Linked DNA regions of Anolis sagrei. Each later gene encodes a partner of the first gene's protein in a complex. Links are inferred from orthologs where the notes say so. Each region holds a gene or a part of one and is shown in the gene's direction. Other genes may lie near its edges.

What was found.
Region 2: AHI1 (region 1) and B9D2 share a complex: the UniProt entries of both Homo sapiens proteins name them as parts of the tectonic-like complex. The link is inferred for Anolis sagrei from reciprocal best matches to the Homo sapiens genes AHI1 and B9D2.
Region 3: AHI1 (region 1) and TMEM107 share a complex: the UniProt entries of both Homo sapiens proteins name them as parts of the tectonic-like complex. The link is inferred for Anolis sagrei from reciprocal best matches to the Homo sapiens genes AHI1 and TMEM107.

The regions. Positions count from the first base shown.
Region 1 is NC_090021.1:80,416,528-80,420,281, forward strand, and holds the start of AHI1 (jouberin), read left to right. Parts: upstream 1-1,471; 5' UTR 1,472-1,548; exon of another isoform or gene 1,549-1,552; intron 1,553-3,754. UniProt on the Homo sapiens protein: Involved in vesicle trafficking and required for ciliogenesis, formation of primary non-motile cilium, and recruitment of RAB8A to the basal body of primary cilium.
Region 2 is NC_090034.1:98,816,883-98,820,636, reverse strand, and holds the start of B9D2 (B9 domain-containing protein 2), read left to right. Parts: upstream 1-1,083; 5' UTR 1,084-1,173; intron 1,174-3,383; 5' UTR 3,384-3,387; coding exon 3,388-3,475; intron 3,476-3,754. UniProt on the Homo sapiens protein: Component of the tectonic-like complex, a complex localized at the transition zone of primary cilia and acting as a barrier that prevents diffusion of transmembrane proteins between the cilia and plasma membranes.
Region 3 is NC_090026.1:7,271,209-7,274,962, forward strand, and holds the start of TMEM107 (transmembrane protein 107), read left to right. Parts: upstream 1-849; 5' UTR 850-985; intron 986-3,649; 5' UTR 3,650-3,680; coding exon 3,681-3,754. UniProt on the Homo sapiens protein: Plays a role in cilia formation and embryonic patterning. Requires for normal Sonic hedgehog (Shh) signaling in the neural tube and acts in combination with GLI2 and GLI3 to pattern ventral and intermediate neuronal cell types.

The DNA.
Region 1 (3,754 bases):
CTTCCCACAAGGATGATAAAAACATCAAATCATCCAGGCGTCCCCTGGGAAACGTCCTTGCAGATGGCCAATTCTCTCACACCAGAAGCGACTTGCAGTTTCTCAAGTCACCCCTTACATGACCAAAAAAAAAAGTTTGATTTTGAGTCTTGACAGCGTTTTTCCTGTTGTTTTTCCTCAATGTGACTGTCACCTGGTATGGCAACATCAATAATCCAGACTTTTTTCTTTTCCACAATTGTGATGTCTTGAGTGTTATGTTCCAAAACTTTGTCAGTCTGGATTCGAAAGTCCTACAGTATTTTTGCATGTTCATTTTCCATGACCTAAGAAACTTATTATTATTATTATTATTATTATTAGAAACCAATTAATTGGACTGACCCTAGGGACTGACACAGGAACAGCAGAACAGTAGAGTTTCCTAAATTTAGGGTGCATTTGTTTATTTATATCCATCCCGCTTTATCTCTCCATATAAAGATAAAGCTGACATTAATTAAGTCTAGTTGTGTTCAACTCTGAGGGTTGGTGCTCATCTCCATTTTTAAGCCGAAGTGCTGGCGTTGTCCGTAGCCGCCTCCTAGGTCATGTGGCCAGCATGACTGCCTGGAACACTGTTATTTTCCTGCAGAAGCAGTACCTATTGATCTACTCACATTTGCATGTTTTCGAACTGCTAGGTTGACAGAAGCTGGGCCTAACAGCAGGAGCTCACCCCACTCCCCAGATTCAAACCGCTAATCTTTTGGTCAGCAAGTTCAGCAGCTCAGTGGTTTAACCCGCTGCACCACCAGGGGGCTTTGATCAGAGGTTCAAATCAAAAACATTACAACTTCAAATATATCAAAATAAAACAGTATATTATATATTATTAGTAAAGGTAAAGGTAGTCCCCTGACATTAAGTCCAGTCATGTCTGACTCTGGGGTGTGGTGCTCATCTCCATTTCTAAGCCAGTGTTGTCCGTAGACACCTCCAAGGTCATGTGGCGGCATGACTGCATGGAACGCAGTCATATATATATATATATAGATAGATAATATTATATTATTATATAATATAATTTTATATATATATATATATATATATTAGTAGTAGTAGTAATTATATTTAATATATTAGTATTACTATATTAGAGTATTATATATTATTATATTGTATTATTAGTAGCATTATATTGTATGACATCTATTGCATCTACACTGTATAGAATTAATGCGGTTTGAGACCCCTTGAATTGTCATCGCTGGAGGCAATGGAAGCCTGGGATTTGGAGTTTGGTGAGTAACCAACCCTGCTTGAGAGGGAAAGGCTAGAGATCTCCCCGGCTTCCACAGCGCGCTTAAAAGTCCTGCCAAACCCATTCATTCTGCATCTCGAAGGCGGAGGGAGAGGAAATCCTCCTGTAGTCTTATCCCGTTGAGGCTGAGTGAGCGCCAGGGCGCATGCTCGCCCTGTCCTGCTATCACGTGCCCTCCCCGCCGTCGCCTAGCAGCCGCTCGTCCCGCCCCCTTCCTCTTCGAGGTCCCCGGCGCGCGCTCAGCGGTAGGTAGGCGATGACTTGATTGGCATGTTCTGAGGGAGGGGAGGGGGGATGAGGGCGAGGCGAGGGGGCTTTGCCGTTCCCCTCCTAAAAGGTGCCCGTTATTCCCTTTCTTCCCTCAGAAGAAAAGTCTCAGTTGGAGGGCCTTCTCGCGTCCCTATGGCGAGCTTTTGTTTCCCACCCTTCCCATTTGGAGTTTAACCCAAAATGACTGTGTGTTGGGGAGGGGGGAGGGGTGAATCCGTAATTGAGAAAAACCAACAACCATAAAGCCTCCTGTGAAGGCAGCGAAAGCCTCAAATCTCAGGCTTTCTCTTTGGGGCCTCATCCCAGCCTGGATACAGTCAACACTTGCCAAGTGGAGTGAATTCGCTCTATGTTCAAAATACTTCAGCAGGGGGTGCTAGAGCCCTTTGGAAAGAGCATTAGGAAGAGGCCAAGGGTGTGCTTTAGTTTTTATGTTTTTCCTCTCTGGGATGAATTAAACCCATGGAGAGGTAGTGAGGTATGAGCTGCCTTGCCTCAGTCCCACAGAATGCTGGGGTTTGTAGTGTGTGTAGCTCTCTGACAGAAGGATGAAGGTGAAGCAACAAAGCCCAGGGCTCTAGAGCAGTAACCAACCCTCTTTGAAACTTGGGCAAACTTGGGCCCTCCAGAGGTTTTGGACTCCAACTCCCACAATTCCTAACAACCTCAGGCCCCTTCCTTCCCCCATCCTCAAAACATCTGAGGGGGTGGCAAACTCTGGAGGGCCCAAGTTTATCCATAACATTGAGCCAAATGATGTCAAACAGATACGTGGGTTCAATGAAAAGTAATGCCTCCCCCTTCGTAACTTCTCAACAGTACTGCTCTCAACCCCATCACTATTGCAAACACGGTTAATGGGGATGAGAGACAGGGCCTTCTCAGCAGTGCCCCCCCCCAGAGGGAATGCCCTCCCTAGAGATATCAGATTGGCCACTTCCCTCTCGTCTTTTAGAAAGAAAATCAAGACCTGGTTATGGGACCAAGCATTTGATCAGTGAGCAGCAAGTGGAAGAAGATCACATAACTTATGGCAATGAATTGACGCGGACTTGTTTTTGAATTTTGATTTTAATGGATGTGTCTTAATTAATTGTTTTAATTTTTAAAAATTTGATTGTACTGTGGTTGTTTTTATGATGCTAGCATCGGATGATGCTTTTGTTAGGCCGCCCTGAGTCCCCCTTCGGGGGGAGAAGGGCGGGGTATAAATATAGGAAATAAATAAATATGCGGCAGGTGCTGGCTTGTTCAGTAGACTCTCCTCTACAGTCCCATTTTGACAGGAAGCCTTAGCATTGAATGCTTGTGTTGTTATAATGTGAAGTATGGAACCCTGTGCAGACGATCGGCCAGTGCGACTTAAGCAACGTGCAGTCATTGAATTCTTGACAGCAGAAGGTGTCACCCTAAAGGAGATTCATCAGAGAATGCGAGCTGTTTATGGTGATTGTGTTGATGTGAGTACTGTAAGTCGTTGGATGAGAAAGTTTAAAGATGCTGTGGTGGGAACATCTGACTTGCATGACAGACAAAGAGTTGGACGTCCTGTGATAGCAACCACCGAGCTTCACAAGCAAAAGGTTGACAGATTGATTCAGGATGATCGTCGTATCACTCAGAGAGAAATTTCAAGCATAATCGGCATTTCACAAGAACGTGTGGGTCACATTATTGCTTTGCTTGGCTATCGGAAGATCTGTGCATGATGGGTATCCACGATGTAGACTTGAAAATTCAGAGACTGGATCTCACCACCATACAACATCCTCCATACAGTCCAGATTTAGCACCGTCAGATTTCCATCTGTTCCTGATAATGAAAGAAGATCTGCGGGGGCATCAATTTGCTTCTGATAAAGACATAGAGAGAATTGTGAGATGTGGGTTGCGGATACAGAGTGTCGACTTCTTCCGTGATGGCTTCAGAAAACTTGTTCATCATTGGCAGAAATGTATCCAATTGTCTGGTGATTATGTGGCAAAATGAATAGCAGTAGTTAAAGAGCACATTCTAAGGATTATTTCTGCGTTTGATTTATGAAAATATTCCCATCCAAACCCAAGTTATGAAGGTGGAGGCATTACTTTTCATTCAACCCTCGTACAATTCTTGCAGTGTGGCTACATTAACAACATTATATCCCACGTTTTCTCTCTAAAAGGAGACAAAGTGGCTTG
Region 2 (3,754 bases), on another chromosome or scaffold:
AATGTCTAGGCCAATTTCCCTCAAAATCCACCAGTATTCAAATGTGTTCCTATTGGGTATGGATCCCAAGTTGGGTCCAGATCCATCATTGTTTGCATTCATAGTGTGTCCTGGATGTAGGTGAACTACAACTCCTATTAATCTCTCCAAAGACCGCCAGTATTTTTTGATAGTTATGGGGGGTTCTGTGCGTCAAGTTAGTTCCAGGTCCATTGTTAGTGGAGCTCTTAGACTGCAGGCGAACTATACATCCCAGTACCTACAAATGGGATGTATAGTTCACGGTGAATTCTCCCCAAAACTCCTATAAATCACGGTGAATTCTCCCCCAAACCTCTCCAATATATTCAGTTGCTGATTAATAATGCTTTGTTTGCTGTGTGCCATAGAAAAGAATAGGAAAGGGTTAAGAGTGAGGCAGTGGGTGGGATTATGCAAATTCCACACCAATGGAGAGAGTCAGAAACACTGGGACGCCTGTGGTGGATTTTTCAGTTATTATGTTTATAGCTAGAAAGAAGATGAAGAGTTTCTATATTGTTTTATTTAGTGCATTGTGGTATTTTTTAATGTTTGCATTATTTTTTCTGTTTTTCTTTTCCTTTAAGTGTATATTGTTTTAAATGAATAATAATAATGAGGAGGAGGAGGAGACATGTTTTCATATAGTTTTCTAAAAATCTAGCATTTCTACCTTTATTTAACCTTGTATTGTTTTAAATGTGTGGATAAAAGCAGGAGGAATAATAATGAGGAGCAAGGATTTGAACTCAGGGCAATTCAGGCAGAGGTTTCGTTGCCTAGCAACAGAGAAGGAAAATGCCCTTTCCAAAATGGCCTCCGTGGAAGCCCTCTATGAAGAGCACCCAAGATGGCGGACAACACACGCCGTAGCTGGGCATTTTCATTGCTTCTTCCTCATGCCACACTCAACATGTCCGACTAGTCATGTCACCGATATTTTTTAGCGTGGCTCCAAAATGGCGTCCCATTTTCTTCCTCACTCAAGATGGCGGCCGTTTCGTTCCCTAACGCCTTTTGGTCCCGAGTGGGACGTCTCTTTCTACCAATCATATTCAAAAGCATTGTGGGCGTGGCTTTCGAGTTGCCAAGGCAACGGGGCCTAGAAGCGATGGATGGATTCTGAGGCGGCGGAGCTGCTGAGATTCTCAGGTAAGAAAGAGAGCGGGGTATGCCCAGTGCGCGTGCGCAGAGGGAGCCGGGGAGACCCGTGTCGTGCGCACGTGTGAACGCAGAAGCGTGCAAACGTTACATGGGCACCACATTCTTATTTTTTTCCCAAAAAAACAATATCTATATAATAAAATAATGGATAATAGCATTTAAAAAGACATAAAATGATAGTAGTACTTTGCTATTTTGGGGTTTGATTTACTTCAACTCCCAGCAGCCTCGCCAACCTTGTATGCTGCTCAGGAATGCTGGGAGTTGTAGTCCCAAAGGTTTGGAATTCCTTGGGGGCATCTACACTGTGGAATTAATGCGGATTGAGACCACTTGAACTACCAGGGCTGGTTGCTAGGGAATCTTGGGAGTTGGAGTTTTAGATTCCTCTGGTGATTTGCCAGACTGCATCTCCCAGGTTTGCATCACATTAAGTCATGGCAGTTAAAGGGGTACCAAACTGAATTAATTGTGTAGTGTGGACAAGTGGTTGCCCAACATGACTTTTGTTCCTAGCTTATAAATGTCATTTCCTAATGGGTTTTAAAGGAAGAGGGGCCGACCAAGGGCAAGATAGATGGATGGCATCCTTGAAGTGACTGGACTGACCTTGAAGGAGCTGGGGGTGGTGACGGCCGACAGGGAGCTCTGGCGTGGACTGGTCCATGAGGTCACGAAGAGTCGGAGACGACTGAACGAATGAACAACAGCAACAATGGGTTTTTATCATAAAAATACGGGGAAAGTGTACTAAACTGCCAAATTTTTGCTTGTTGGAGGACATTGTGTTTTATTTTTATGTTTACAAGCCGTATTTTGTGTTTACAAGCTGTATAAGTCCTTAGTTTTAGTTATAACTAGCTTGGGGACCCGACTAGGGGACCTGACTGTGTATCAAGGTTGGTCTTTATAAGTTATTTATATGGCTCGCAGTGGCCTCAGGAAGTTAATGAAGGTACTGCGAGTCCCATCATCTGTGGTCCATCCTCCTCCAAACTGCTCCAGGATGGAGTGTGGGTCATGGGGGCTCTGTGTGCCAAGTTTGGTTTGTATTGGTAATTTTGTGACACAGCTTCAGGCCTTTTCCTCTCTTCTGTCACCTCAGAATCTTGGAGTTTTGAGGCTGGCCAATCAGAGAGCATATGCAAATTGTACCCACAGTGGCAGCCAATCAGAACGCTGCCGCATACACCTCCCTCCCGTCTTTCCTCCGCATACAAACACTGACTTTTATTATATAGATAGATAGATAGATAGATAGATAGATAGATAGATAGGTTAAATGTAGAAGTGCAGTTTCTAAAACAGGCATAGGCAAGCTTTGGACATCCAGAAGTTTTGGACTTCAACTCCCACAATTCCTAAGAGCCTCAGACTCTTTCCTTAAGCTTAAGCGACCGAGGAAGGAATCACATGGAAAAAATCCAAATCAAGTCCATGAAGATTGTTTTGAGAGTGGTGCTCCATCTTCATTATTGTCTTCAGTCTACATATAGCCTCATGACTCAATGCTTACTTTGTTTATATGATTTTTCTTATTGAATGTATCCCTGAAGCCTATATACAGTGTAATCCTTATCCAGACCTAGAACTGTTACATTTGAGAGCGGCTGCTCCTTTTGATTTTGCTGTGTGCCACTGAATTGAGCTATGTACTGAGGATTTTGGTAAATGGAATACTATATGCTCTTTTGATAGTACTCTTTGACATTACACATAGATTGTTTTGTGTTTGTGCTGATACCTGACAAGTACTCTGAGATATTGTTTAGTAAAACAACTACTTTCAAAGTAAGTACCACACAACTAAACAGGAAATAATACTTTCAAACTAGGAACAGAATTTCTTTTCAAATGTTGTTACATAGTGTAGTAATAGGTGAAGGTTTTCCCCTGACATGAAGTCCAGTCGTGTCCAACTCTGGGGATGGGGCTCATCTCCATTTCTAAGCCGAAGAGCCGGTGTTGTCCATAGACACCTCCAAGGTTATGTGGCCGGCATGACTGAATGGAGTGCCCTTACCTTCTCGCTGGAGCAATACCTATTGATGTACTCACATTTGCATGTTTTCAAACTACTAGGTTGGCAGAATTTTGGGAAGTTGAAGGCCAAAACACCTGGAGACCCACAAGTTGAGAACCACTGGTTTAATGATTTGGCATCTCCTTCTAAAAATGTCTCTTTTTCTGTATCACAGGTCCATGGCGGAGGTCCATGTCATCGGTCAGATCGTGGGAGCCAGCGGATTCCCTCGCAGCAGCCTTTTCTGCAAATGGGGGATCCACACAGGTCGGTGGAGCACAATAGGTTGGGATCCATTCACTCAAAGGCCTGGGACTTGACACTTCTCCTAAAAGAGAATGGCCGAGAAGTGACGTAAGGCAGAGTTACATCACTGGCATCTCTCTTTGAAACAATGATGGCTGCATTCAGGATTTCACCTTTATTTTTATTATTTTACATTATGGTTGCCTTCAAAGGGCTGTTGAATCCAAGCATGGAGAATCCATGGATACAGAGAGCCAACACACACACACACATATATACACATGCACATACACACACAAA
Region 3 (3,754 bases), on another chromosome or scaffold:
TACATTGTTGAATTAAAGCAGTTTGATACTACTTTAACTGCTATGGAAACGTGGGTATTATAGTCTACCATGGTCTTTTTAGCTTTGACTGCCAAAGAGTGCTAACTGCATTAATTAATTGTTTTTTCCCTAAATTTAGAATTATCCAATTATTAGCAATTATCCAAGAGTGCATCTGCACTGCAGACTTAATGCAGTTTGACACCACTTTAGATGCCATGGGACTTGTAGTTTTAAAAAGTCCTTCCTGCTAAAATGGGCTGGTGCCCTACCAAAACTACAAATCCCAGGATTCCAGAGCGTTTGTGAAATGGCACTTAAAGGTATTTATTATTAGTTTAAAACCATTATTTTAAAGTATTTATTTACTTACTATTATTTACTAAAAGTCCTTCCTGCTAAAATGGGCTGGTGCCCTACCAAAACTACAAGTCCCAGGATTCCAGAGCGTTTGTGAAATGGCACTTAATAGTATTTATTATTAGTTTAAAACCATTATTTCAAAGTATTTATTTATGTACTATTATTTACTAAAAGTCCTTCCTGCTAAAATGGGCTGGTGCCCTACCAAAACTACAAATCCCAGGATTCCAGAGCGTTTGTGAAATGGCACTTAAAGGTATTTATTATTAGTTTAAAACCATTGTTTCAAAGTATTTATTTATTTACTATTATTAAAGTCAAACTGCATTAATCCTCCTCCTGAGAAATAGTAATCAGTAATCTCAGCAACTGGAAAAGAGCCTTTTCCTTTGAGAGGAACGAAATGGCAAGCAAGAGGTTAAGAGGATGGGCATTTACCCACAGTCAATATGGTCGACTAGGCTTCGTCACGCTTGGTAAAATCTCGCGATATTCTAGGAAGCGGGCAAAACAGAACAGAACAAGCCTCCCAAGCGGTTGCTATGGGCAACGGCGCGGCCTAGAGTTGAGGCCTTAAAATCGAGCCCTGGGGAAAAATTGAATGTTCCCGCCAAAACAATAGGTGAGTAAAGTGGGGAGGATATGGGGCTCTATTAATTAATTGGTTCATTAATTAATATGATGAATTCCATTAGGAATTGTAGTTGAAATAAAGGACAGGCCTCTTAGGCCTTGAATGGTTATACAGAAGAGGGAATTTAAGCAGATTGTACTGTTTGTACAGCATAGTGTCTAGATCCAGGGAAGTCATGCTCCCCATGCTCTATTCCGCCTTGGTTAGACCACACCTGGAATATTGTGTCCAATTCTGGGCACTACAATTGAAGAGAGATGTTGACAAGCTCGAATGTGTCCAGAGGAGAGCGACTAAAGTGATAAAAGGTCTGGAGAACAAGCCCTATGAGGAGCGGCTTAAGGAGCTGGGCATGTTTAGCCTGAAGAAGAGAAGGCTGAGAGGAGACATGATAGCCATTTATAAATATGTGAGAGGAAGCCACAGGGAGGAGGGAGCAAGCTTGTTTTCTGCTTCCTTGGAGACTAGGACACGAAACAATGGCTTCAAACTACAAGAGAGGAGATTCCATCTGAACATGAGGAAGAACTTCCTGACTGTGAGAGCCGTTCAGCAGTGGAACTCTCTGCCCCGGAGTGTGGTGGAGGCTCCTTATTTGGAAGCTTTTAAACAGAGGCTGGATGGCCATCTGTCAGGGGTGATTTGAATGCAATATTCCTGCTTCTTGGCAGAATGGGGTTGAACTGGATGGCCCATGAGGTCTCTTCCAACTCTTTGATTCTATGTTTAATTGGCAGGTTTTAAATGTGTCAAGTGTCTTCAGGTGCAAGGCTTTGTTTTGTTTTTGAGGGAGCGAGTTATTATAATGATAATAACAATAACAACTATTATTATTATTACAACAATAATAATATTTATTTACTTCATTTATATACCGCTTTTCTCAGCCCTTGGGCGACTCAAAGCGGTTAACAATAGCAAAATTCAATGCTCAACATCATAAAAACAGTTAAAAAACAATTAAAACAATGACATAATAAACAATCAATTAAACATAGCTATAACATCTCGTTAGCGTCTCATAAGTAGAATCGAGATCCAATCTCATCATCCGTTGTTCCATATTCCTATATTCATTACACTGCCTATTTAAATGCCTGCTCCAATAACCAGGTCTTCACTTTCCTCCAAAATGCCAATAGGGAGGGGGCCAATCTAATTTCTGTAGGAAGAGCGTTCCACAGCCAAGGGGCCACCACTGAGAAGGCCCTGTCTCTTGTCCCCACCAGACGTACTTGTGATGCAGGTGGAACCGAGAACAGGGCCTCCCCAGATGATCTTAACGTCCTAGCTGGTTCATAGAAGGAGATGCATTAGGACAGGTAAGTTGGGCCAGAACCGTTTAGGGCTTTATAAGCTAATGCCAGCACTTTGAATTGTGCCTGGTAGCAAACTGGCAGTCAGTGGAGCTGGCGCAGCAGATGAGTTGTATGCTCCCTGAGCACCGCTCCTGTCAGTATCCTGGCTGTCGAACGTTGGACCATTTGAAGCTTCCGAACAGTCTTCAAAGGCAACCCCACGTAGAAAGTGTTGCAGTAGTCTATACAGAATGTAACCAGAGCGTGGGCTACCGTGGCCAAGTCAGACTTCCCAAGGTACAGGCGCAGCTGGCGCACAAGTTTTAACTTACAAGGATGTTTTAAGTTTTACAAATAAACTTTATTTATACCCCGCCACCATCTCCCCAAAGGGACTCGGGGTGGCTAACATGAGGCCAAGCCCAAGGATTACAGTACAGCAAAGTAAAATACAATAGCAAATAATAATAACAAAGTAAAATATATTATAATTATATATTTTATATTACATGTAATATTGCTACTAATATTATAATATAATAGTATAGTACAATATAGTAATATATAATACTTATATTGTACTATGCTAATAATATAATATATTGTATGTATATATATCTTGTAAGCCTCTCTGAGTCCCCTTTGGGGTGAGAAGGGCGGCATATAAATGTCGTAAATAAATAAATAAATAAATAAAATACAAACAAATACACAATAAACAAACACAAAATAAAATAGTGGAAGAATAAAAACAGAGTGGGCAGGCGAAATGCACAGGATAAAATTGATAAAACCCTGGGTGAGATTAGGTAAATGGAATATTGTGTATCTGGGGGAGAACTCAGAAGGGCGAACAATGTGGTTGACCTTCACTAAGGGATGAGAGAAAGTGCATCATGAGGACAGATCTGTACTGGGACGGACATGGTGTGGGGATGATGATGATGATAATAATAATAATAATCTTCATTTGTAGCCCGCTACCATCGCCCCAAGGGACTCGATGCGGCTTACATGAGGCCAAGCCCAAAGTACATCAAACAAAATATCAAAGCACAACATCAATAAGCAATCAATCAATCAAATACAAATAATATAAATCGCATAAACAAAAAACAGTCAATAGTGACATAAACAATTTTAAAAATGGCCGGGCCAAATGTAATAGATTAAAATTGAAAATATGTTGATGTGGACAAGGTAAAATATAACTAGGATAGGATTATCATGTCCACTTAAAAGTTTGTGCCAAGTCCACACCAATCACACAAAATTATTATTATTAGCACCTATCATCCCATGCTAACACTTTGTAGTGATTTGTTTGTTTTTTTCTTGTCCTTTCTGTTGACAGGATTGCATTGCCCTTTGGATGCTTGGAGAGAATGCCTTTGGTCAGCGGAGTGGTACCCGCACGGTTCCTGACCATCACGGCCCACTTGGTCATCGTGATCACCAT